Linked DNA regions of Arabidopsis thaliana. The protein of the gene in region 1 purifies or fractionates together with the protein of each later gene. This does not show direct contact. Each region holds a gene or a part of one and is shown in the gene's direction. Other genes may lie near its edges.

Region 1 (7,908 bases):
CGTTGCTGAATAAAAATGGATATTATCGATAGGGCATCTTTTATTCTATTTTGGGATACAAGAATGATTGAAACACAATATTGGAAAGAAAAGCTAAGTTGCAAAAAAAAAAGAAAAAGGAAAAAAAGTCGACCACAGTGGGAGTCGAACCCACGACCTTTTGATCCGAAGTCAAACGCGCTAATCCACTGCGCTATGCGGTCATTCTTGTTACTTATATCATGAACAACATGGTAAGCCAAAACTTCTTCTTTCCTCTTTCTTCTTTCTGTTTTCTGGTCGCTCGTTACCACCAAGACCTCGTCGAGGTTTCTCTCTCTCTGAAAAAGTGCTTTTGCTGCGTTTCCATGCTCTCGGAAGGAACTTGGCTGAATCGTTGGAGAATTATCGATCTGGCGTCGTTGGTGCATCTCTAGCTGCGCCAATTCATCGGATCCGGTTTGATTTCTCCCTTTCGCGAATCTAGCCTTCCGTGATCTTAGGTGGGTTTTCCGAATTGATCTGTAATTGAGGATGTAAATCGAAACTAGGGATTTCCTAGATCTCGTTAGCTGTGTATTTGATTATTGCAGCAGAGTTTTTGTTTAGGTAGAGATATAGGGAATTTTGATATAGGGACACTTAAATTTTGGTGTATCAATTTGCTGCAGCAGCCATGTTCTATGGCACAGCTGTATGGGACCCTTGGCTTATCGTTGGCCAGATTATTTGCCTCCAATGCTCTTACTATCTCACTCTTGGACTCTTCACCATGGTCTTTCTTGGCCTTCGTGTTCCTCGCCTTAGTCTTGTCTACTTCTTCGATTACGCTACTCTCACTACTTCCACCTTCACCGGTTGGTCTGTTATTGCCTCATTCCTCTTCTCTTCACTCGCTGGGTATTTTGCTTTGCCCCCTAGTAATAGTATCCATCCATTTATTTCCCTCTTTATTACTAGTCTTTTCAGATTCCTTGTATTCATTTTAATTGGCAGGGCTGTGTACATGATATTTTTGGTGGAGCGAGCACGGAAATGCTTAGATTTCTCTGCAACTCTCTACATCATACATCTCTTCTTTTGCATCATGTATGGAGGATGGCCTTCCTCTATGGCGTGGTGGGTTGTTAATGGAACCGGACTCGCTGTTATGGCTTTGCTAGCTGAGTACTTGTGCATTAAACGCGAACAGCGAGAGATCCCTATGGATCGCTTCCACTCAAGTAAGATGATCATTCTTTCTTGAAATCTCTCTGTGTGAACAAGCATATCTTTACCTTTTACTTTCTCAAGACTGACTTAACATGAAATTAAATTTGGCTGCCTATGCTGCTGCTGCAGGGGTTTGAAGATTGGTGAAAGAACAAGTGATGAAGATTCTTGTGGGTTAGCAGCGCGACTCGTAGAGCCTAGTAGAGCCTAGTACTCTTAACAATTGTGATGTACAGAGATGAAATCAGAGGAGTAGAATGGGCGAAAGGAAGTTCAGCTAGCCAAGCAACAATGTTGGACACTGGTGCACCAACTCTGACTGCAATTTTTAGTGACTTCAAATACTAAGACTTTGGAATACGTTTCAATTTGTTCTTTTGTATGAAAAAAACATTAGACTCGAATAGGTTATTGATTTCATGTTGCTTCTTTTTTTTGTTTATACTGGATTTTCTCTTCTATCCTCTACTTGGTGCAGCTTTGTGTGTTTTAAAACCAGTGTCTCATTCATCATACTCTTTTACCACCAATTGAATCCTTCCAATTTACTGTTTTTTGGGGGGGAAAATTACTGTGTACTAACAAGTAAAAAGGGCCGTCCGTCAAAATGTAACATCTCCTATATACGGTGCGGTCAAGTTAAAAAAAAGAGCAAAAACGCGTGATAAAACGACGTCGAATTAGAGATCCTACTAGACCCAGATTCAGATCCAAATCGCCAACGCGCACTGGAAGTGGGATCACCACCACTGCGCTTCTTCTTCTTCGTCATCTCTGATCCCCCCTGCGATCAGGGGCCATTTCCGTCGATAATCCGATCTCCGGTTCAGACATTCGTTTGGACTTGCAAAGATGGTGAGTGACATGATCTCTCAGTTTCTCCATAGATCTACCTCTGAATCCTCTTTCAATTTTTTACTTGAAATCTCATTTCTGGGCTAGTCTACGTAAGAGTGTTCCTCATTGCACTAAAATTTGATGTTCCTTCAGTCATCCCCTAAATCGAACGATATTTTCTACTATGCCGTGTTTTGGTTTCTCAGAATATCATCAAGTATTTTTGTACGAGCTATTTTTTTTTTTGTTTCTCTCTTCGGCACTAACCTAAGTGTTTGCTTCTTTTGTTGACAGCCACTGAGACTCGAAATCAAGGTAATGCAGTCTCCTTTGATGCTCGATTTCATCCTTAATCATTCTTATTCGGGACTGTATTGACACGCTTCTTTGTTTTGATCAGCGTAAGTTTGCTCAAAGATCAGAAAGAGTCAAATCTGTAGATCTCCATCCAACAGAGCCATGGTAATTTGAGCGCATTCATTCTTCATTGCTTTATATATCGTTAAGGAAACAAGTACTAATCCATAGATTGTTTCAGGATCCTGGCAAGTTTGTATTCCGGAACTCTGTGCATCTGGAATTACCAGACCCAGGTTAGTATCATCTCTTGCTTTTATCTTACTTTCTATCTGTTGGTCTTCACTCTTATATTTTGTGCTCCCTTCTGATTATTGTTAACCCAAATATGACTTTTGCAGACAATGGTAAAATCTTTCGACGTGACTGAATTGCCTGGTATGATATATAGCATCTCATTGTTCCTTCTTATTCTTTCGCACATCATTTGTTGAATCTCTGTCCTGGTGTTGTGCAGTTCGGTCAGCAAAGTTCATTGCACGGAAGCAGTGGGTTGTAGCTGGAGCTGATGACATGTTTATTCGTGTCTACAACTACAACACTATGGATAAGATCAAAGTATTTGAGGCTCATGCTGATTACATTCGCTGTGTTGCTGTTCATCCCACGCTTCCCTATGTCTTATCATCATCTGATGATATGCTCATCAAGCTCTGGGACTGGGAAAAGGGTTGGCTTTGCACTCAAATTTTCGAAGGCCATTCCCATTATGTTATGCAAGTCACTTTCAACCCCAAAGACACCAATACTTTTGCTAGTGCATCCCTTGACCGTACCATAAAAGTAAGATTAGTCTTCAACTTTTAAGTTACACCTTCTTCTTTCATTCCCAATTTCCCATTATGAGAAGCTTAACATTTGTTTTCCTGTATCTACATCTTTTCTTACCTAGATATGGAATCTTGGCTCTCCGGATCCAAATTTTACTTTGGATGCACATCTCAAAGGGGTAAACTGTGTAGACTACTTTACTGGTGGGGATAAACCATACCTAATCACTGGTTCTGATGATCATACTGCTAAGGTCTGTACTGAGCTTTCTTGCTTCTTTGCAAGTTGTTTGCTACATATGTGTGCTTGTATGTATCTCCATTTGTATTGTTTGTATATAGGTTCGTGCAGGGTTTTCTGTTTGTATATTGTTCATAAATTTCTTCTGGAAGCAGGTGTGGGATTACCAAACAAAGAGTTGCGTTCAGACTCTCGAAGGTCATACACACAATGTTTCTGCAGTATCTTTTCATCCAGAGCTACCTATAATTATTACAGGATCCGAGGATGGAACTGTTCGCATATGGCACGCCACCACTTACAGGTAACTCGTATGCTGTCTGCATTGGAGCTGCTATTGATTTTGTCTTTAAAAACTTCCTTCAATTTTTCAAAAATCTTCATCCAACAGTTTTTTACTTAATACTTGACATCTAGGCTTGAGAATACATTGAACTATGGCCTTGAGAGGGTTTGGGCTATTGGACACATTAAAGGTTCACGCCGGTAAGTTTCTGATCTTTTACTATGTCAATATTTATTCCCTATTAAAGATATATATCTTCACATCATAATTATTTCTTTGTGTAAATTTATGTTTCCTTCATAACTTACGAGATGGCAATACCTTGTCTTTTTCCAGGGTTGTAATTGGTTATGACGAAGGATCCATAATGGTGAAACTTGGCCGTGAAATACCAGTGGCTAGTATGGATAACAGCGGAAAAATTATTTGGGCTAAACACAATGAGATACATACTGTAAACATCAAGAGTGTGGGCGCAGATGAGGTTTGGGGTTTAACACTTTTACATTGTTGCCTTGTGTATTTGAAAATTAGCTCATGTTTGGCAATGTTTATCATTTGGTTCTGAGCCTACTTAGGTCACTGATGGTGAGAGACTTCCTTTGGCCGTTAAAGAGCTAGGGACCTGCGATCTTTATCCTCAAGTAAGTGGCATCCTTCTTATTGTATAATTGTTACTCCCTTTAAACAATGAAGGAAATGTGGTTTTGTATCTCTGGATTGTCATTTCTACATTTATGGAAGATATATTGGATATGTAGTGCTAATGTTTTTCTTGAATTGCTGCTTCCTGCTTCTAGTTATTTATTTTTGGGCAGTTTGATAGATTACTGGTATTAGTAAGAAATATGACCTTAAATCATTTATTAATTTTGTGACTACCCACTGTCATTTATGTTTCTATTATTTAATTTTTTGCTTTTTCAGAGCTTGAAGCACAACCCTAATGGTAGGTTTGTGGTAGTTTGTGGAGATGGTGAGTATATTATCTACACTGCCTTGGCGTGGCGAAATAGGTCATTTGGCTCTGCGCTAGAATTTGTTTGGTCATCTGATGGGGAGCATGCTGTCAGGGAAAGCTCGACAAAGATCAAGATCTTCAGCAAGAATTTCCAGGTTTGTAATTCCTTTTGGCACGTTCCTTTTCCGACTGATTAACTCTAAAGCTTTTGTTTTTTGTGTCTTATTCTGTTATCTGAAATACACTAACCTATGCTGATACCCTTGTTTAATTTGCAGGAAAAGAAGACTGTGAGACCCACCTTCTCAGCAGAGCACATTTTTGGTGGGACGTTATTGACAATGTGCTCAAGTGATTTTATATGCTTCTATGATTGGGCGGAATGTAGGTTGATTAGGCGAATAGATGTTACTGTCAAAGTAAGTGCTTATATACCAGAAGTAGATCCATTAGTTTCTACAAGAAAATAGTTTATAGGTTACGTTTTCAGTAATATTTTTATTGGAGAAATACAAAAGAGTTCCTTATCTGAAATTTAAACGCAAAAGCAGATTGGTACTGCTCGCTTATTCACTTTTAACGTTTTTGTTTATTCAATGTTTCAGAATCTTTATTGGGCGGACAGTGGTGATCTAGTTGCAATTGCCAGTGATACATCATTCTACATCCTTAAGTTCAATGTGAGGATCTTTTTTAAACCTTGGTAGTGAGCCAGAACTCTTGTACATTTCCTTAGTTTATTTTCCTAGTACTGTTGCTGTTCGAGACATGGTTTTAAGCTGTTTTCTTACTGTTCTGCTGTAGCGTGACATTGTTTCCTCTTATTTTGATGGCGGTAAACAAATTGATGAGGAAGGCATTGAGGACGCATTTGAGCTTCTCAATGAAACCAATGAACGTGTTCGGACTGGCTTATGGGTTGGGGATTGTTTTATCTATACCAACTCTTCTTGGAGGCTTAATTACTGTGTTGGTGGTGAGGTAAGGCTCATTTCTAGGTTTTTGGAAAGAAACGTTTTATGTTTTTTATTTTGTTGTAATTGAGATTCAGTACTCCTCTTATATTACAGGTAACTACAATGTATCATCTGGACCGTCCTATGTACTTGTTGGGTTATCTCGCTAATCAAAGCAGGGTTTATTTGATTGACAAAGAGTTCAAGTAAGCAGATGTTTTACTGTTATGATTGCTAACAATGTTTTGTAACTTACTGACTTCTGTGTCCACTTTATGATTACAGTGTTATTGGATACACTTTACTTTTAAGTTTGATTGAGTACAAGACTCTTGTGATGCGTGGAGATTTGGAACAGGCTAATGAAGTCTTACCTTCAATTCCTAAGGAGCACCATAATAGGTATGAGAATGTGCTTTCCCTCGCATTATGGTTACAGCTGGATTATGGTGTTAGTAAACATGTATCCAAGGTCACATAATGGTTTAAATTGTTTTCCTAAATTCACGCATTCCTACTTTTCTGATTCTCGACTTCAAAATCCTGTTCGTTTTGTCAGCGTGGCACACTTTTTGGAGTCACGTGGCATGACAGAAGATGCTCTAGAAGTAGCAACTGATCCTGACTACAGATTTGAGTTGGCCATACAGCTCGGTAGATTGGCTGTCGCAAAGGTTAGTCTGTAGTTTTTACCATTTGAGAAGCTTTATTTCCATGACTTACCGATATGTTTTTACTCGATTCTTATTTTTTGACAGGACATTGCTGTAGAGGCACAAAATGAATCTAAATGGAAGCAACTTGGAGAATTAGCTATGTCAAGTGGGAAGGTGACCATTTTTTAGCTGCAATCAGTGTTCTAGGATTCTTACAAAGGTTAAAGCTAACATGTATTTTTCTTTTCATTTTCCTTCCCATGCTTGGACTACTTAGCTGGATATGGCTGAGGAATGCATGAGGCATGCTATGGATTTGAGTGGTCTGCTGCTGCTTTATTCTTCATTGGGAGATGCAGATGGAATGATGAAGCTGGCAGCACTTGCAAAAGAGCAAGGAAAGAACAATGTCGCTTTTCTTTGCTTGTTCATGTTGGGTCAAGTAGAAGACTGCCTGCATCTGTTGGTGGAAAGGTACATTGTTTACTATTTCTTACATGTGGAACATATATTCCCGCAACTAATTACGTCTATGCTGATATTAATATGGTTACAGTAATCGAATACCTGAAGCCGCTCTGATGGCGAGATCGTACCTTCCAAGCAAGGTCTCCGAAATAGTGGCATTGTGGAGAAACGATTTGACCAAGGTTAGTGGTAGACACATCCGATGCACCTTGTGATTGAATTTCAAACCTTGCCTGTTGAGATATCCACAATTTTTCTTCATCCTCTGTCAATCTGGATATAGATAAGTCCAAAGGCTGCTGAATCTCTGGCTGATCCCGAAGAGTATCCCAATCTCTTTGAGGAGTGGCAAGTCGCCCTGTCCCTTGAAAATAGAGCTGCAGAGACGAGGTATCTTTTCGTCGTTGCCGTCATTAGCTTATTCTTAAAAACAGTGCTTATGAGGAAACCTTTTTAATTGAATTGTGGGACTTAAGCCATTTAGAGTCATGTGTCTGTATTACATAGCAAGGTAGCCGTCATGTATTTGCTTATAATTTGAATTTATACCCGTATAAACATAAGCCGAATGTCGATTTCATTTTTTCAGGATCCTCATAAACAAAGTATTTTTGTTGACTTATCTTGCAGGGGCGTCCATCCTCCTGCTGGGGATTATTGTAGTCATGCAGACAGAGATCATACAACTTTAGTGGATGCTTTTAGAATTATGCAAATAGAGGAAGAGGGTCGACTTGAGCAAGGGGATGTTCTCGACGAGGTATGCATGTTTACATTACATGCATTGAAGAGGATTGTCTTTTACCCATGATATCCAATCCAATGGTCTTGGCCATGGTGGACAATGGTAGGATCATTAATTCTACTGTCGCTGCTTCATTTGTTGTGAACAGGTTGGGGAAGAGGGGGAAGATGGAGAGGAAGAGGAGGAGGAGGATCGTCAGGAAGAGAGTAGTGATGGGAGACAGCAGAATGTGGAAGAAGAGGCTGTTGTGGTGGACGCTGACTCTACGGATGGTGCTGTGCTAGTTAATGGTAACGAGTCTGAAGAACAGTGGGGTAAGATTAGTGAAGGAACCGCATCAGCCTTATAGCATTTGTGGTTATCAATTGATTATAAGATGTCGCTGCACCAAAATATCCTTTTGCCATCTGCACATATATCATAGGATTTGCGTTTGCATC
Region 2 (4,275 bases), about 19 Mb from region 1:
AAGCAACATCAAATTTTATATGTAAAGATGAGACAAGATATTAGCTAAGCTTACAAAAAGGAAGTGAAAAATAAGAGAGGCAACCACAAAGAACACATAAAGAGATATACCTCACCGAAAGCACCCCGGCCAATGATGCTAAGCAGTTCAAAGTCATCAACCCCCATTTTCTGTCTTTGTAGACGCATATACTCCATTTCCTTTTTCTCAAAGTTCTTTAATATATCCATCTTGTCTTCAACAGTAACATCAGCATCAGCTAGGTTTTGTTCCAAGATGCTCCGACTGTATTCAAGAGCGAGCTGATATCAGAAGGTTCAATCTAAACCAGTAGCAGATTAATTCCTAAATCAGACCCAACCATCAGTACTAGAAAATAAGACTACTCTGAAGTTCCATTTGTAACAACTAAAGCACAAGAAGTAAATATTGGCATCACAAGAAGAATCCCGAGAACGTACCGCTCTTTTCTTTCCTGGAGACTCTTCTTCTGAATTTTATAATGATTCTCGATATATTGCTTCGCTGCAGCAACTTTCTGTTTAGTAGCATTAGATGGTGCATCATTCATAGGAGGTCTCCCAAGATTCTTCACATTTCCCTCTTGTCCCTTTTTAGTAGGGCTTGATTTATCCGGTTTCTGCTGCCGTATCTGGAACCAGCTCCTTGTAGGCTCCGTAGCCATTTCAATCCAATCTAATGCAAATCACTTCATAAAACCTGCAGAAAATCAAAACAAAATTCCAAAACCCAAATGCTTCAAAACTAAATCAAATTGATGACAAATTCTTGTCTAACAACGCTGGTCAACACCTAAAATCTCACCGTAAATTCCGGAAACAATATTAAAACTTTCACTTCCAAGTTAATTCCACACGAATCGATTTTAATCACTCTTGACATAGAGATACATATACATCTAGTTCTGGATTGTGGATTGCACGCATGCATTCGAATCAAAACTTGCTTATAATCAAATAGTTACAAACTCCAATTCCAAACAAGATACGCACAAACACCATGCGAGATTGAAGAAGAAGAAAAACGAAAAGTCAAACTATTCACAAAGAAAAAGTAAAACTCGATCGGGGAAGATGACAAATTTCGCGAAAGGATCAAAGAAACTTACATCAACAAAACAACAAATCAGAGAGATTTTGATTTTAGCTCTCGCTTCGAATTCGAACTGTTGCTTACACGCATTCACTTAAAACGGAATTTTTTTAATTAAAAGATCTCAAAAGGGAGAGCAAAAACGGATTACGAACTAATAACGTTTTTTGGGCAAAGCGTATTTTATCTTGAAGCAGTAAACGCCGTTTAAGTTACAGTCACGATGACTCGGTGGCTGATTAAAACCAATACTGGTAAACCGGCTTTTAACTATTCCCGGGTCATTTATTGGGGAAGCTAAATGACACGTGTCAGTAAATTGTTGGATTTGTTTGTCGACATAACGTGACAGCACGATTGAACGGAGTGGTTTGCTAACGTCATTAGAACAACTCCCGCGCGAATTGGATAAAAACGCGTTTTATTGGTAAGACAAGATTGTCACCGTCCGTATGTAGGAGACGTGTAAAGAGAAGCAGAGTGTCGAACTAATTGGGTCATCGAAAAGCCCATTGGGCCTAAAATAGATAACAATGAGTGTCAATTGTAACATTCAAAATGTATGGGGCTTTATGTACATCTTAAGGCGTCATATTTTTTTGGTTTTGATTATTCACACTTCAGTTTTCTTTATTTTGGAGTTAGACACGGATCTGTGAGATCTAGAAGAAGAAGAAGAAGAAGAAGCTAAGACAATGGCATCCATGGCAGGACCAGATCATCTCTTCAATTTGAGAAACCATTTCTACTTGGGTGCTTATCAAGCTGCGATCAACAACAGCGAGATCCCTAATCTTTCGCAGGAAGATATCGTCGAGCGAGACTGTCTCGTCCATCGCGCTTACATCGCTCTCGGAAGTTACCAGGTTTTGCTTCCGTCTCGTGTTTTTCGATTTGGATTTCAATTTGTTTTGATCATTTGCTGATTTACGTTTTTCAAATTTCGTCTTCGTAGCTTGTCATCAGTGAGATCGATGAAGCCGCTGCTACTCCTCTACAGGCAGTGAAACTCCTTGCTATGTATCTATCGAGTCCTGAAAACAAGGTAATTCAAGAGATTTTGAGATGTTTCAATTCATCTTCTGTAACGTTTGCTTAGCGGAATTTCAGATAACTTTAGTAGAATTCTAGGATTCTTTTGATGATTTAGCTTCAGAGATCCGGAATTGAATATATCTTGATCTTATTTTAGTGATCTGCATTGTTGAATACGTAGTTGTTTCTGTGATTTTGGTTAGGAATCAACCATTTCGAGCTTGAGGGAATGGTTGGCAGATCCAACTGTAGGAAACAATGCTATTATCAGGTTGATTGCTGGTACTATATTCATGCATGAGGAAGACTATAATGAGGCTCTGAAGCACACTCATTCTGGAGGAACCATGGATCTGTGAGCTTTTCGATTTGTTTTGTCTTGTCACAGCGATCTCTTTTCGTTTACTCGATAAATGATTGTTGTTTCTGCATATTTTAGGCATGCTTTGAATGTCCAGATATTCATAAAGATGCACAGATCAGATTTTGCGGAGAAACAACTGAGAGTGATGCAACAGATTGATGAAGACCACACACTCACTCAGCTCGCGAGCGCGTGGTTGAATCTGGCAGTAGTATGATATGAATATCCATTTCTTTTTTCCATATAGTGTAGAGAAGTTTGTTAATGTGTTTCTTAATATGAAATTGTTCTTTATGATCTCAGGGTGGTTCCAAGATACAGGAAGCTTATCTAATCTTCCAGGATTTCTCTGAGAAGTACCCAATGACAAGCTTGATCTTGAACGGCAAAGCAGTTTGCTGCATGCATATGGGTAATTTTGAAGAAGCTGAGACTCTACTACTTGAAGCACTCAACAAGGTGAGTGATGAACCTACTCTTTCTTTCCTTAAATCTGTATCGACACAACCCATTCTCAATATCATGTCATCGGAAATGCTCACTCGATTTAAATCTATGAGGATACTTGAAAACTCCTTACACCAAATCTAAACTTTTCAACTATTCCGTTTATTATAAAATGGACAAGTTTGAAATCATAGATGTTTATTCTCATTGCAGGATGCTAAAGACCCAGAAACTCTTGCAAACCTCGTTGTATGCAGTCTTCACGTCGGGAAATCATCTTCTCGCTACCTAAAGTATAAATATTCATGACCTTTTGCATTTTCTGCATAACAACAAGTGCATCAGTAAGCTGACTTATTCCTCCATTTCCAATCCTTTTGCAGCCAGCTGAAACTTTCACATCCAGAACACGTCCTTGTGAAGCGAGCAGCATCAGCTGAAGATAACTTCGAGAGAGCACTTCAATCTTTCGCCTGAAGTACCTCAAAGTCCATGGAATCAATTTGCCTTATGATCTACCAGAAGAACATCATATTATTACCGACCCTATCTTGAAATTATCATAGATAAACAGTTTTTTCCATTGGATATGTTGCATTTTACTTTGATTTCTCACTGAAGCTTTTGTTTTCATTGAGTTTCGAATCCAACAGAACTACAGATCTTGTTCCTTGAAATCCAGAATCTCCATAACTGATGAGACAAAAGGCAGACTTTTGAAAACGAAACATTCGCTAATGTATGCAACACGGAGCTTAGATCTAAATTCCGCTTTACAAATTAAAAGCCAGGAATGCTATATATTATTAAGACTAATCAATAAATATTGTGAGAGGTACATATACTAATGAATGGCTGCTTCCTAAAAGAACCTAAAGCCATTACAAAATGAATATCAATCAAAAATCTCGTCATGTGATATCATTTTTTCATAATATGGATAATATATCTTGTGTTATATTTATATATAAACCATCATCATCTCCTACGCTTCTCTCCTCAATACCATCTGGAATCAAAATCTCCGTCCATCACCAAAGGAATGAACAAAGTCAGTAAACCGAGACCGATGAGGTTGTTAAGCCATAGCCATTACGGTGCAGCTTCTGCCATCTCCATGCAGTCTCAAGACTCTCTTTGAGATTAGTGTGCTTAGCTGTCCAGTTAAGTTCCTTCCTAATCTTGCTTGGATCACTGTAAACCTCAGCGTAATCACCTGCACGTCTAGGCAAATAGTCGATCTTGATCTCAACACCAGTTGCTTTCTTGCACGCCTCAACAAACTCTTTCACCGAGCTACCTACTCCACCCATACA
Region 3 (6,915 bases), on another chromosome or scaffold:
ACCGGCCAAACATTGTTTTTTTTACGGCAACAAAGATATATCAAAACACAAATTGCAACACTAAAAATCATGTGTTTTATTGGTGCCTTATATAACAAATGAAACCTTACCCGAAAGGTTTAGCATATATGACATCCAGACAAGAGAAAACGTAATTCATCATTTTCGTTATCTAACATACAAGAATCAAAACAAGATTTCACATTAACAAAGATAAAGTGTACATAGTTGAGGAAAATAAAGGTAAAGATAAAGTGTAGACAATATTCAAAAGGGTGGTTGTCCAACAATGTTACCAGGAGGATCATAGTTACAAATAATAAATGTGTCACCGGTCTTGCAAAAACTGATTGCACACCCAATCCTCGAACTCTTCTTCCATACAAGTTGCGTGTAATGCAAACAATCCCCATTCGCCTTGCAGTGGGAAGTCCTCCGGTCATAGTATTTCATCTCCGAGGCCCATGCAGCCACCGCATCCCGTGGAGTCCAACCTTTTCCGCTTCCCCAGAAGAGATTCTCCCCGTAAGGTCCCCCGGAGTGGATAAGTTTGCAATCTCCACGGCGGGTTCTGGCCCACCGGCTCGCATAGAGGGCGAGGCTATTGCTCCATTTGAGAGGAGGGAGACGAAGCTTGGCTCGTAAGATGTTGTGTGGTCGGAGAAACTGCTGCTGAATGGTGTTGCGGGCTAGAGCTTTGTCTTGAGAAAAAATTAGTGTTGATGTTGTCGGTGTTCTGTTTGATGGGATTTGAAAAGAGAGAGAAGGAAGTGGAGTGCTGATAACTATGATAATGATGATGAATATCAGAGTTTTTTGTTCCATTGGGATGCTAAGTTAGATTTGTTTCTGAGCCTCTAGATCTAGCTAGTACGATCCTTACCATATATATATACACACACACACATAATTGTTTATGCTTTCATATTTGTACGTATATATCATCTAACGAATCTAAACACATGCTATGTTAATAATGCGCAATGACAAGTGCTAATCATTTCGGTGGAACATTGATTATTTGTAGGGAATGATTTTATTCAAACAAAGCATACATTATTGAGCTAATTAATAGATCATTATATATGAAGGAAGTTTTAATAGGATGTTTTCTTTTTTTCTTGTAAGAAGAGACTTTATCATAGCAACGAGAATATATCCCAAGCATAAAACATTATATACAAACTCATTCAAATGAAAACCTAAGTTAGATATTTAATTTGACCACTCTTAAAATACTTGTTTAGTTATAACATGTTTACTATGCAGATTTATGAGGCGTATCAGATGGTGTGCTAGAGAACGTGATACAAATTTGGATGCCTTGTTTTCAAGAAATCTTATACATTCCTTGGAGATCAATTTGTATTGTGAGGCTTATAGTCATTGAGCTTACCGTTGATTAACTAAATTTATATTATATAGAACATCAAATAGACGAAAAAAATCAATTTAGTTGACCACCGTTTGTTAGCTAGGTTATAAACTCTGACCCAAAGTGTCCTATGCTTTCAGTATTCAGTTTATTTTATAACGTGTGGGGTCGTTTTGGAAACAATTAAAACAATAGGGGCTATATTTTTCTCAAGTTCTGTTGGACTGGGCTTGTCGTTAATCAATATTTGGGCTTTTGAGGTTGACTCGCTTTTTTCCGTTCTTCGTTTTCCAAAATCAAACCCAAAAGGATTTGGAGGAGTTAATTCACCTGACGAATCCACCACCATAATATTAAGCACATTTGATCTCTCACTTCCTTGGTGCGAGTGTTTTGTTTTCCGAGATCCAAAATCTTCTCTTGGATCCAAAGCTGTGTTACTGTGGATCTCCTCCTCCTCTCTCCCTGGATCTCGTACCTTTGAGGTTTGTCTCTCTGTGTTAAACTTGCGACTCAGATTTCATAGAGATCGATCCCACTTTTGCCTTTTCCTTTGTGAAAATCTACAATGTTCAATTATTCTCTGGCGCTCTTTGTTTGATCTCGTTGAATATTGATCTGATTCCGGTAGGAAACCGATTTTCATGTTTGTGCAGCTGAGTGAGACTGCGAATTATGTAGATTTCATTGTTTGTTCATCTAATCTGGGGAGATAGATCGCATTTTTTTTTTTTTTGAATTTTGGTTGATCCGAAGCTGTTTTAACTGATTTTTCGTTTTTATGTTATTATTTTGGTCGTAGTTGTAGTACAGTGATGTGTATTGCTGGATCTGAGGATTTAGATTTGTCAATGTTTTGCATCTTTGGGTCTCTGATTGGACATTACCGAATATTCTTCTGAAATTATGATGTTTTCTCATAAACCACGGATTCGAGAATAGAGATCATGTATTCAATGTATTGAAATCCAAGCAGAGAGGTATGGATTATCGCCGATGATACTGTTGAACTTCTTGTATAGAACTTACTCTAGCACTGATGAGGACACTAGTAAGGTGCTTATATTCAGTAATTCGAACTTGAAATCGCCAGAAATATTAAAAGTTTTGATATCTTGTTTTTACTTGTGATCTATACTTCATTATGTCTTTAATCAATTGTAACAATTTTGCTCTATTCATCTTCTATTTCTTATATTAACAAAGGAACACTTGTTCGTGAATGGTTTTTCCTTTTCATTTGAGCTCACAGATTTTTTTCTCTTTCACTTTTTGTGCAGCACCGGAGAAGATGGACAAATCTAGTACCATGCTTGTTCACTATGACAAAGGGACTCCAGCAGTTGCTAATGAGATTAAAGAAGCTCTCGAAGGAAATGATGTTGAAGCTAAAGTTGATGCCATGAAGAAGGCAATTATGCTTTTGCTGAATGGTGAAACCATTCCTCAGCTTTTCATAACCATTATAAGATATGTGCTACCTTCTGAGGACCACACAATCCAAAAGCTTCTGTTGCTGTACCTGGAGCTGATTGAAAAGACTGATTCTAAGGGGAAGGTGTTACCTGAAATGATTTTGATATGCCAGAATCTTCGTAATAACCTTCAGCATCCTAATGAGTACATCCGTGGAGTGACACTGAGGTTTCTCTGCCGGATGAAGGAGACTGAAATTGTGGAGCCTTTAACTCCATCAGTGTTACAAAATCTGGAGCATCGCCATCCATTTGTTCGCAGGAATGCCATTCTGGCCATCATGTCGATATATAAGCTTCCACAAGGCGACCAACTCTTTGTGGATGCGCCTGAAATGATCGAGAAAGTTCTATCAACCGAACAAGATCCTTCTGCCAAGAGAAATGCATTTCTAATGCTCTTTACCTGTGCTGAAGAACGTGCAGTGAATTATCTTCTGAGCAATGTTGACAAGGTTTCAGACTGGAATGAATCACTTCAGATGGTGGTGCTGGAGTTGATTCGAAGTGTGTGTAAGACTAAACCAGCAGAGAAGGGGAAATATATTAAGATTATTATTTCTCTGTTAAGTGCTACTTCTTCTGCAGTTATCTATGAATGTGCTGGGACACTTGTTTCTCTCTCATCTGCCCCTACTGCGATTCGGGCTGCTGCCAACACCTACTGCCAACTTCTTCTTTCTCAGAGTGACAACAATGTGAAGCTTATTTTACTCGATCGGTTGTATGAGCTTAAGACATTGCACAGAGATATCATGGTTGAGTTGATAATAGATGTGCTCAGAGCACTCTCAAGCCCAAACCTTGATATCCGCAGGAAGACGCTTGACATTTCCCTTGACTTGATTACCCATCATAATATCAATGAGGTCGTTCAAATGTTGAAGAAAGAAGTTGTGAAGACACAGAGTGGAGAACTTGAGAAGAATGGGGAGTACAGACAAATGCTTATTCAAGCCATCCACGCTTGTGCAGTGAAGTTCCCCGAAGTTGCAAGCACAGTGGTCCACCTTCTGATGGACTTCTTGGGAGATAGCAATGTGGCTTCAGCTCTTGACGTGGTTGTTTTTGTTAGAGAGATAATAGAAACAAATCCCAAGTTAAGAGTTTCAATCATCACAAGGTTATTGGACACGTTCTATCAGATCCGAGCAGGAAAGGTCTGCCCTTGTGCCCTTTGGATAATTGGGGAGTATTGCCTATCACTTTCGGAAGTTGAGAGTGGCATTTCAACTATCACGCAATGCCTTGGCGAATTACCATTTTACTCTGTTTCTGAGGAGTCTGAGCCAACTGAGACATCAAAGAAGATTCAGCCTACCTCTTCTGCCATGGTGTCCTCTAGAAAGCCAGTGATTCTTGCTGATGGAACTTATGCTACCCAAAGCGCAGCCTCTGAAACCACATTCTCCTCACCTACAGTTGTTCAAGGATCACTGACTTCTGGAAATTTGAGAGCACTGCTACTAACTGGTGATTTTTTCCTCGGAGCAGTGGTTGCTTGCACGTTGACCAAACTTGTTCTTAGGTTAGAAGAGGTTCAGTCTTCTAAAACTGAAGTAAATAAGACAGTCACACAGGCTTTGTTGATCATGGTTTCTATGTTGCAACTTGGGCAATCTCCTGTTTCTCCACACCCTATTGATAATGATTCGTATGAGAGGATTGTGTTGTGCATAAAATTGCTTTGCCATAGGAATGATGAGATGAAAAAGATATGGTTAGAATCCTGCCGCCAGAGTTTTGTCAAGATGATTTCTGAAAAACAGCTTAGAGAGATGGAGGAACTGAAGGCGAAGACCCAAACAACGCATGCTCAACCTGATGATCTAATTGACTTCTTCCATCTAAAGAGTCGGAAGGTATTATTACTTCCTAAGCTTCCCTTTGCTTTATTGGGTTTTTTTTTCCATATGAGTTTTCCTTTTCAATCTGTTCAGTTCTGTTACGTTGGTGTCTACTTTTTCTTACAGTTCATATCCAATTTTTTTTTTCGCATTCTCAAAGAAAGTTCGAAAGTTGATAGTGGCATGTTATGTTTATTTATTTCGGTCAGTAGTTGAAATTACTGACGATAAGTTTCTTTCAGGGAATGAGTCAACTTGAGTTGGAAGACCAAGTACAAGATGACCTAAAGCGTGCAACTGGAGAATTCACCAAGGACGAGAACGATGCTAACAAACTTAACCGCATTCTTCAACTCACAGGATTCAGTGACCCAGTCTATGCTGAAGCATATGTGACGGTACACCATTATGATATTGCTCTTGAAGTTACAGTAATCAACCGAACCAAGGAAACCCTTCAGAACTTGTGCTTGGAGTTAGCAACCATGGGTGATCTCAAACTTGTTGAGCGTCCTCAGAACTACAGTCTGGCACCTGAAAGAAGCATGCAGATTAAAGCAAACATCAAGGTGTCGTCCACAGAGACGGGAGTCATATTCGGGAACATCGTCTATGAGACATCAAATGTAATGGAGCGAAACGTCGTTGTTCTTAATGACATACACATTGATATCATGGACTATATCTCCCCTGCTGTGTGTTCAGAGGTTGCTTTCAGAACTATGTGGGCAGAGTTCGAATGGGAAAACAAGGTAATTTATTGAAACCTTTTATAGTTGTACCTTCTTTTCGTATGTTTGTTGGAGTTTGGTATAACCAATTCCTGTTGTATTCTTTATGTCAGGTTGCTGTGAACACCACAATACAAAACGAAAGAGAATTCCTCGACCACATTATCAAATCTACAAACATGAAATGTCTCACTGCTCCGTAAGTGTAAATTCTTCTTTCATCCTGTAGAAACGAAAAACTCTTCTTACTAATTAATACTTCTTTACTTGCAGATCCGCAATAGAAGGCGAATGTGGATTCCTTGCAGCAAACTTATACGCAAAAAGTGTATTTGGTGAGGATGCTCTTGTGAATGTGAGTATTGAGAAGCAAACGGATGGAGCATTGAGTGGTTACATAAGGATAAGGAGCAAGACGCAAGGGATTGCCCTAAGTCTTGGGGACAAAATCACCCTCAAACAAAAGGGTAGTAGCTGAGGTTAGCTAATCTTTTCAAAACATATTCTATTTCTCGATTAATACATGTTTTAATCCTTAAACCGCAATTGGTCTAAATTTCAGTACCATACCGATGATTTCTCACAGTGGCGTGCAAAGGTAACAGGTTTAGACTACGTACGTTTCTCTTGAGCAATTATCGTTGGTTGAATCTGCTTATTATATGGAGGGAGGAGGCGTTCAAGGGTATATGTAAAAAGAGTAATTGGCTATCGTTCTTACTTAACCGGTATATTTTCTGGTATGGTACCGATGGATTTCTTCATCTCATATGGCAGTGTGTTTTTTACTGTACTAGACGATTTTGTTTTATTTGTAATGCTTTTTCTTCTATAATGTCGTTTGTTGAGGACTTTAAACCGTGAACTTTATGATATTGTAGATTTCAAAGCTACATTTGGTTTGCTCCATTTTAGAACTCGTCATTTCAGATTTGATCTCTATTCTTTTCTTTCATATGCATTTGAAGTGAACTATTCAATTGTCAAAGCTAGACTTTAATTTGCTAGTAGCTATATAATACGGGTTATGTTAGCAAGTAAGTTGTAATGAAACGCATGTATTAATATGGACCATATTCAAAATCTACAAGCCAAAGAAACCAATTGCTTCACAACCAAACCCATAACATTTGATTCTTACAGCCTTTTCTATTCTCAAGAAAACCAAGCAATAATTTTTAAGCAAAATTTAATAATCTTAAATCACTTGCCTCAAGGTACCAAGGGACGATCACATACACATTCGCGTAACTAGATATCGCTAACATCATTAGACAAGAAAATACTAGACGCGAGTAGAAGAGGAAAGATCCAAATACATCATCTTCTATCATAAAATCATCCATCTCTAACCGAAAGTTGGAGCACGTTTCAAGGAAAAACTGACATAATTCCTAATTACGCTCACTTTTAAAAGTTTGGGGTCGTTTTGGAAACAATAAAAAAGTAGGGGCTATGCTTTCTCAACTTCTATTGGACTGGGCTTG
Region 4 (7,700 bases), on another chromosome or scaffold:
CTTTTTGTTTCTGCTACTCAAATAAGAAAAGGAAACAATCAAAATTTCCTTTTTTCATTGAACAAACGTGTACTTATAAATACACCCCTTCTCTCTTCTTCCTTGAGAAAAGTCTCCATTCTCTCTTCTTCTTCCTGGAAACCTAAACCACGTAAGGATTTGCTCTGAATCTAAATATTGACGTGGAGAAGACGCGATCTTACTAATTCTCCATTCTCTGCTTCAACTTCACCGTAAGATTGAACAAACCTTTACTTATATATACCTCTTCTTTCTTGAGAAATCCAAATTCTCCATTCTCTCTTCTTCTTCCAAACCAAAACCTAATTCTCCATTCTCTGCTTCAACTTCACCGTAAGATTGATCGGTTGATAAAGCGGCTCTTTTTGGTGATTGATCTCTGTTGTGACTACATCTTAGGTCAATTCAGATTGCTTTCATATCAAGTCTCTCCTAATTTCACAAGATCAAAGATCCCGGCCATGGATTCAGTTGTCGACGGCGAAGGAGAACACAAACGACGACTAAGGATGCGAAAGTGGGAAAGAGGGATATAACGAAGACATGGACAATGAAAGCAACGAGCAGTATAGAACCAAATCAATGGATCATGATCTGTGTTTGGTACTAGGTGTTTCCTTGGCGTCGACGAGATCTTTTGAAAATCTTGTGTTTCGTCGATATCACAAGCAAAGGTATTTTCTTTTTTCCTTTTCTATTTTTAATGATTCATTTTTTACTAAATAAAAATTTATTTTTAGATTTTTTTATTAAGTGTTAAAATTTTCAATTTTGTGTAAATTAATTTAAATTTTTAACACTTGTTTTTGTTTTTATTAAAAACTGTTTTTAAACCTATATTTTTATACTACTATTAAAGTTTTAAGGTTTTTCTTATTAAATATTAAATTTTTAAATTTTGTGTAAACTAATTGGATACATCATCCAATCCCCTAAGAGGTGTTCTAGGTTCAATAGATGGTTTACACATCATTTAAATTTTTAACACTTGTTTTTTATATTTATTAAATAAATGTTTTTAAACCTAAATTTTTATACTACTATTAAAATTTGAAGTTTTTTTTTATTAAGTGTTGAATTTTTAAATTTTGTGTAAACTAATTGGATACATCATCCAAACCCCTAAGAGGTGTTCTAGGTTCAATATGGTTTACACATTATTTAAATTTTTAACACTTGTTTTTCTTATATCAAAAATATGTTTTAAACCTTTATTTTTATACTACTATTAAAGTTTTAAGTTTTTTTATTAAGTGTTAAATATTTAAATTTGTGTAAGCTAATTGGATACATCATCCAAACCCCTAAATAGTGTTCTAGTTTCAATATGGTTTACACATTATTTAAAGTTTTAACACTTGTTTTCCTTATATTAAAAAATGTTTTAAACCTATATTTTTCTATTACTATTAAGATCTTAAGTTTTTTTTTTAATTTTGTGTAAACTAATTGGATAAATCTTAACTCCTAAGAGGTTAGGTTCAATATGGTTTACATATAATTTAATTTTTCTTATATTAAAAAATGTTTCTATTTTTATTTTACTATTAAGATTTTAAATTTTTTTTTGTTAAGTGTAAAAAATTAAAATTTTGTGTAAACTAATTGAATATAACATTCAAACCTGTAAGAGGTGTTTATAGGTTCAATATGATTTATATATAATTTAAATAGTTTGCTATTTTGTTTAGAATCAAAATATTTTTAAATGACATGTTGTAATAATTGACCAAAAGAAATTAGTGTGTGATTTTGTTGAAATGCAGAGTACAAAGCCTTAATTTATACCAAGTTATGGTATCTATAACGTATATGAATACCAAAATTTTATTATTTTTAATTGGTGTTGTATTTTATAATTCGAAATAATTAGGGGAACGGGCAAAACCTCTCTGTTCTCTCGCTTATATTTTTTTTAGAGAGAAAGCAAATCAGTTTCAACGATCGGATATTTTCTGGTGTTAGCCGTCCTGACTTTTTGGGCTTTCTGTCCGATATCACCGGCTCTGGTAGCGGTGTTGGTTGGCTCTAGTCCGGCAGCGTCTTGTTCACATAACCGGTGGTTGCTGGCTCTTGGTTTCTCTCGTCGATGTAGATCGATTTTTAATCTGTGTTTTTTTATTTTCATGTTTTGTTTTTAATAATTCTCATCTGAGACATGTTGGTGATAGAGTGAATGCAATCTCGCTTTCTAATGCTTCTTATCCGATCTGTTCTTTTTTAAGTTTTGATTTACAGAAATTTTTGGAGAAATTTGAGAATGATGTTGAAGAAAAGAAGTGGATTCTGTTGTTAATTATCATAGCCTTAAGCTGTTGTATATTTAACATGAGCCTCGATTGCTTTTTATCGGTGAAAAAACAAAAAGATCCATGTTCTATGAGACTATCGACGGTGATTCTTTCACCGAAATCGGTGCTCAGACGGCGAAAATGAAGTCGGTTCGCTTTAGAGTACTCATCTGACACGTATATTAATATATCGACATGTGGTTTGGGATAGAGTCAAACTATAGTTTCTTCTTCTATGAAAGACTCTCTGTTGGCCTATTTGGTCCTAAATCGTTTCTGTAATCGCGGACTTTTCTTTAAGCTTTGACTATCTTGATTAATACAATATTTCTCTTGGGACAAAAAAAAAATAATCTTAGTATTTCTTTAATATTTTTTGTTTGGGTATGGGCTATTGGGCCGCTTCGAAAAGTTCACTTTCTCTATCGATCTCTCACAGTTTCTGAGTTCTCTGACTCAAAAACATATAGTAGAAGAAAACGATTAGAGATCTTCTTCTTTCTCCTGTTGCATCTGAAGATAAAGGAAACAGAAAGCGCGAGATCTGAGTGACGGAGTAATTTCAAAGGGAGGTTTTCGAGATCAGAAATGGCGCAACCCCTCGTGAAGAAAGACGATGATCACGACGATGAGTGTATGTGTTCTCTCTTAATCTCCTTATAATTTTCGAATCAGCTGGTTTTCTGCAAAATGTAGATCCAGATGTTAAGCTTCTAGATCTGTTATCATTCAACAGTCGTGATTGTGATTTGGTTGTGTAGATCTACAATCTCAAGTCCGATTTAGTTTTGTTTACCGCATTCGATCCCGGTGTGAATTGCTTTGCTTATTTCGATTTCTGATTTTTTGTTGGATCAGTGGAGTATTCTCCATTCATGGGAATTGAGAAAGGAGCGGTTCTTCAAGAGGCTAGAGTCTTTAATGACCCTCAGGTTGATCCTAGACGATGCTCCCAGGTCATTACGAAGCTTCTTTATTTGCTTAACCAAGGGGAGTCATTCACCAAGGTCAGTTAATTTTTTTGCTTATACTGATTCGATGTCATGCTTATGGAGAATTGAATTATTGTGTTCTTATCCTCTCGCGATGGTTGTTTGTTTCATATGCAGGTTGAAGCAACGGAAGTTTTCTTTTCAGTTACAAAGCTTTTTCAATCAAAAGACACGGGTTTGAGGAGAATGGTCTACTTGATCATTAAGGAGTTATCTCCATCATCTGATGAGGTCTGTAAATTTTACTCAATTTCAATACGAACATCGTCGCACTTATTGTAGGTATATTTTCTGATAAGTTGTTGGTTTTTTCGCCCATAGGTTATCATCGTAACAAGCTCTCTGATGAAGGATATGAATAGTAAAATTGATATGTATCGAGCAAATGCTATCCGTGTCCTCTGCCGGATAATAGACGGAACCCTTCTCACTCAGATTGAGCGATACTTGAAACAAGCCATTGTGGATAAGAATCCCGTTGTTTCAAGTGCAGCTTTAGTCAGTGGGCTTCACTTGCTCAAGGTACCTTTTACACACCAAAACTATTAGGTAGCTTCTTAATTGTAATGTTATGCTTATATTCGTATATTGCTGTTTTCAGACAAACCCAGAAATTGTTAAAAGATGGAGCAATGAAGTTCAAGAAGGTATTCAATCCAGATCAGCCCTTGTTCAGTTCCATGCCCTAGCTTTGCTCCATCAGGTTAGTTTGTTGCATTATTATCACCGAAGTCGATTGGTCTATGTTTCTACTCTTTGTTTAATTAAACAGCCACTGAGAAGAAGTATCTCGGAAAATGAGAGGTGTTACTATGTGTATTGGACTAGATTCATAAATAATAAGTTTTCTGTAGCAGCATCGTAGCTCTTTACTACGGCCTTTTCCAGCAATTTTAGTTTCTTGTGAGGTTTAATCTGTGTCTGGAGTCTGTCTCAGATACTGCTGATTCTAGCATATGTAACTAATTAGGTTGGTTAGGACAACCTATTTATGTGTCTAAGATGTACGAGTTACCAAATGATATGTATTGCTGCTGTTACGTTGATTTAAAATGACTCCCAACATGATACACTCTCAATCTTTGATCTAATAACTGTCAATCTTTGATCAACTTGATAATCTTTCATCATATTCAGATACGCCAAAATGATCGCTTGGCTGTTAGCAAATTGGTTGGTAGCTTGACCAGGGGATCTGTCCGCTCTCCCTTGGCTCAGTGTCTTTTGATACGTTACACCAGCCAGGTTATTCCTCTCTTCTGTTTGATCATTTGATAAGTGGCTGATTGTATATGTGTTATTTAGCTCTGGTTTCTAATATTCAGGTTATCCGTGACATGGCCAACCACGGTCAATCTGGAGAACGTCCGTTCTATGAATTTTTGGAGAGTTGCCTGCGCCATAAGGCAGAAATGGTGATCCTTGAGGCTGCCAGGGCAATTACTGAGCTTGATGGTGTGACAAGCCGAGAACTGACTCCAGCAATCACTGTTCTTCAGCTCTTTTTGAGTTCCCCCAGACCAGTGTTGAGATTTGCCGCTGTCCGGACTCTGAACAAGGTTTGCAATGCTTTCAACTGTTCTCTTTGTACATTGACACCGAAATGATGTTTTACTATTCTGGGTAGATTCATCATTACCTTTATCATGAGGATGAGGAGATATTTCACTGTATACTAAACACAAGTTTGAACCACAGGTTGCAATGACTCATCCTATGGCTGTCACCAACTGCAACATTGATATGGAGAGTTTAATCTCTGATCAAAATAGAAGCATTGCTACACTCGCAATAACCACACTATTGAAAACAGGGAACGAATCAAGTGTAGAACGTTTGATGAAGCAGATAACTAATTTTATGTCAGATATTGCTGATGAGTTCAAAATTGTGGTCGTGGACGCAATAAGATCGTTGTGTGTGAAATTCCCACTGAAATACAGATCCTTGTAAGTAAAGTTTTAGGGTTTGTTATTTGTAGTTTTGGTCTCGAGCATTTCTATTTTTTTGAATGATTAAATATGTTATGGTATCTTTTTAGCATTTGGCTTATGATTGATCTATCACCTTTTCATTTGTAGGATGACCTTCTTAAGCAACATTCTTAGGGAAGAAGGTGGATTTGAGTATAAAAGAGCAATAGTAGATTCTATTGTGACCATTATCAGAGATATTCCGGATGCAAAGGAAAGTGGACTGCTTCATCTATGTGAATTCATTGAAGATTGTGAATTCACATATCTTTCAACACAGGTAATTATTCCATCATCCATCTGGGGTTGCTATTAAAAACTTATGTGTTATTGAAATGTTTATTCTCGCACAGATCCTTCATTTTCTGGGAATTGAGGGGCCTAACACCTCAGATCCAAGCAAGTATATACGATATATATATAATCGTGTGCATCTAGAAAACGCCACTGTCCGGGCTGCTGCTGTTTCCACACTTGCAAAGTTTGGGTTTATGGTTGAATCCTTGAAGGTATAGTCATCATAACAACCATTATTTTTATTTTCCGTTTATCTTCTTTGACTGATGATAATGCTCGACAGCCCCGGATTACTGTTCTATTGAAGCGTTGCATCTATGACAGTGATGATGAGGTGCGTTCCTAGTCTTAGTCTAGAAAAGCATTGCTGTTTCTGTATGTCTGTTTGTTTTGAGTCGTTGCATCATCAAACATGCATGCATGTGTTTGCCTCTGTAAACATTTTCGGATGCATGCAATGCAAGTTGTTTGATGATTCCTTCCTTGCTCATGAGTCAGACATCTTTTTATCTTAAGGTCCGTGATAGGGCAACACTATATTTGAGTGTTCTTGGTGGTGATGGTACTGTTGACACTGATAAAGAGAGCAAGGATTTCCTATTTGGTTCCCTGGAGGTTCCTCTAGTCAACATGGAAACTAGTCTGAAGAATTATGTGAGTTAATCTATTTCTCGGTTTTCTCCTTTTCAATATTCTTAGGACATCAGTTATCTTATATCTGGGATTCCTGCAGGAGCCCTCTGAAGAAGCTTTTGATATCAACTCCGTACCTAAGGAAGTTAAATCTCAGCCCCTTGCAGAGAAGAAAGCCCAGGGTAAAAAGCCCACTGGTCTTGGTGCACCACCAGCTGCACCTGCTTCTGGTTTTGATGGCTATGAAAGACTTCTCTCATCCATTCCAGAGTTTGCCGCCTTTGGAAAACTTTTCAAGGTTAGGGGCTGATTTGTCTTCTGTGTTATTCTAATGTTAATGGCTTATCTTGTTTGCTTTAACTTGTACTTTCTTTTTCAGTCTTCTTTACCTGTGGAGCTAACTGAAGCAGAAACAGAATACGCTGTCAATGTTGTTAAGCATATCTTTGACAGTCATGTGGTGTTTCAGTACAACTGCACTAACACAATACCAGAGCAGTTGTTGGAGAGGGTACTGAACATTGGTGTAGAATATTAGTGTCAAGCATATCTTATCTTTCTTTCCTCATTTAATTAATTTGGCATGGGGTTGTAGGTCAATGTCATTGTAGATGCTTCAGAAGCTGAGGAATTCAGTGAAGTAACTTCAAAGGCCCTAAACTCACTTCCTTACGATTCACCCGGTCAAGCCTTTGTGGTTTTTGAGAAGCCAGCTGGGGTCCCTGCTGTTGGAAAGTTCTCCAACACATTGACTTTCGTTGTTAAGGAGGTACATGTTAAATAGGCTATTCACTTCCATCTTTTTATTTACTTACACTGAAAATGACCCCATAATACTTTGTGGAGAACTCTTATAAACAACGACTCATTTGGAGAGGAGTACCAGAACGACTCAAATTAATCACAGAAAACAAAGAAAACTCTCTAACTACATTGTTTGTGCTTTTATGAATGTGTTAAAACAGGTTGACCCAAGCACAGGTGAAGCAGAAGATGATGGAGTAGAAGATGAGTACCAGCTAGAGGATCTTGAGGTTGTAGCTGGAGATTACATGGTGAAAGTGGGTGTCTCCAATTTCAGGAATGCGTGGGAAAGCATGGATGAAGAAGATGAGCGTGTAGACGAATATGGCCTTGGCCAAAGAGAGAGTTTGGGAGAAGCTGTAAAGGCTGTCATGGATCTTCTTGGCATGCAGACTTGTGAGGTTAGTCTCTTCCACTTTTTTCTCATACTCTACTGAGACTTGAGGGCTAAAATTATTGTTGATAAAGTCTTTTTTGAGTATATGACCATTTGTTGTGTTCCTGAAATTGAAACTGACACTGGATAAATAACAGGGGACGGAGACAATTCCGCTCAATGCAAGGTCACACACGTGTCTATTGTCAGGTGTGTACATAGGCAACGTGAAAGTGTTAGTGAGGGCACAGTTTGGAATGGACAGCTCAAAGGACATTGCAATGAAGCTGACAGTTAGAGCTGAAGACGTTTC

Evidence for each region.
Region 2: the proteins of AT1G79990 (region 1) and AT1G30630 fractionate together in Arabidopsis thaliana (co-fractionation; one large-scale study listed by BioGRID). This does not show direct contact.
Region 3: the proteins of AT1G79990 (region 1) and AT4G31480 fractionate together in Arabidopsis thaliana (co-fractionation; one large-scale study listed by BioGRID). This does not show direct contact.
Region 4: the proteins of AT1G79990 (region 1) and AT4G34450 fractionate together in Arabidopsis thaliana (co-fractionation; one large-scale study listed by BioGRID). This does not show direct contact.

Annotation. Positions count from the first base shown.
Region 1 is NC_003070.9:30,083,867-30,091,774, forward strand, and holds the start of AT1G79990 (coatomer subunit beta-2), read left to right. Parts: upstream 1-1,883; 5' UTR 1,884-2,043; coding exon 2,044-2,046; intron 2,047-2,165; exon of another isoform or gene 2,166-2,302; intron 2,303-2,322; coding exon 2,323-2,343; intron 2,344-2,428; coding exon 2,429-2,490; intron 2,491-2,566; coding exon 2,567-2,621; intron 2,622-2,726; coding exon 2,727-2,763; intron 2,764-2,842; coding exon 2,843-3,168; intron 3,169-3,277; coding exon 3,278-3,409; intron 3,410-3,551; coding exon 3,552-3,700; intron 3,701-3,813; coding exon 3,814-3,882; intron 3,883-4,018; coding exon 4,019-4,166; intron 4,167-4,260; coding exon 4,261-4,326; intron 4,327-4,609; coding exon 4,610-4,798; intron 4,799-4,921; coding exon 4,922-5,062; intron 5,063-5,248; coding exon 5,249-5,323; intron 5,324-5,447; coding exon 5,448-5,624; intron 5,625-5,713; coding exon 5,714-5,805; intron 5,806-5,884; coding exon 5,885-6,001; intron 6,002-6,158; coding exon 6,159-6,273; intron 6,274-6,357; and 12 more. Other genes in the region: AT1G79985 (structural molecules protein), read left to right, coding at 656-879, 976-1,202, 1,321-1,328. UniProt on the Arabidopsis thaliana protein: The coatomer is a cytosolic protein complex that binds to dilysine motifs and reversibly associates with Golgi non-clathrin-coated vesicles, which further mediate biosynthetic protein transport from the ER, via the Golgi up to the trans Golgi network.
Region 2 is NC_003070.9:10,857,707-10,861,981, reverse strand, and holds AT1G30630 (Coatomer epsilon subunit), read left to right. Parts: upstream 1-1,659; 5' UTR 1,660-1,808; coding exon 1,809-1,979; intron 1,980-2,068; coding exon 2,069-2,158; intron 2,159-2,351; coding exon 2,352-2,503; intron 2,504-2,587; coding exon 2,588-2,723; intron 2,724-2,815; coding exon 2,816-2,971; intron 2,972-3,172; coding exon 3,173-3,252; intron 3,253-3,342; coding exon 3,343-3,436; 3' UTR 3,437-3,750; downstream 3,751-4,275. Other genes in the region: AT1G30640 (Protein kinase family protein), read right to left, coding at 111-285, 462-685; MUR4 (NAD(P)-binding Rossmann-fold superfamily protein), read right to left, coding at 4,012-4,259. UniProt on the Arabidopsis thaliana protein: The coatomer is a cytosolic protein complex that binds to dilysine motifs and reversibly associates with Golgi non-clathrin-coated vesicles, which further mediate biosynthetic protein transport from the ER, via the Golgi up to the trans Golgi network.
Region 3 is NC_003075.7:15,261,479-15,268,393, forward strand, and holds AT4G31480 (Coatomer, beta subunit), read left to right. Parts: upstream 1-1,675; 5' UTR 1,676-2,597; coding exon 2,598-4,712; intron 4,713-4,939; coding exon 4,940-5,449; intron 5,450-5,541; coding exon 5,542-5,627; intron 5,628-5,701; coding exon 5,702-5,906; 3' UTR 5,907-5,907; intron 5,908-5,990; 3' UTR 5,991-6,413; downstream 6,414-6,915. Other genes in the region: AT4G31470 (CAP (Cysteine-rich secretory proteins, Antigen 5, and Pathogenesis-related 1 protein) superfamily protein), read right to left, coding at 268-825. UniProt on the Arabidopsis thaliana protein: The coatomer is a cytosolic protein complex that binds to dilysine motifs and reversibly associates with Golgi non-clathrin-coated vesicles, which further mediate biosynthetic protein transport from the ER, via the Golgi up to the trans Golgi network.
Region 4 is NC_003075.7:16,469,056-16,476,755, forward strand, and holds the start of AT4G34450 (coatomer gamma-2 subunit, putative / gamma-2 coat protein, putative / gamma-2 COP), read left to right. Parts: upstream 1-1,680; 5' UTR 1,681-2,900; coding exon 2,901-2,946; intron 2,947-3,170; coding exon 3,171-3,319; intron 3,320-3,421; coding exon 3,422-3,535; intron 3,536-3,625; coding exon 3,626-3,826; intron 3,827-3,905; coding exon 3,906-4,007; intron 4,008-4,441; coding exon 4,442-4,549; intron 4,550-4,629; coding exon 4,630-4,863; intron 4,864-5,002; coding exon 5,003-5,253; intron 5,254-5,385; coding exon 5,386-5,557; intron 5,558-5,630; coding exon 5,631-5,786; intron 5,787-5,857; coding exon 5,858-5,908; intron 5,909-6,090; coding exon 6,091-6,228; intron 6,229-6,307; coding exon 6,308-6,505; intron 6,506-6,586; coding exon 6,587-6,718; intron 6,719-6,802; coding exon 6,803-6,976; intron 6,977-7,172; coding exon 7,173-7,412; intron 7,413-7,545; coding exon 7,546-7,700. UniProt on the Arabidopsis thaliana protein: The coatomer is a cytosolic protein complex that binds to dilysine motifs and reversibly associates with Golgi non-clathrin-coated vesicles, which further mediate biosynthetic protein transport from the ER, via the Golgi up to the trans Golgi network.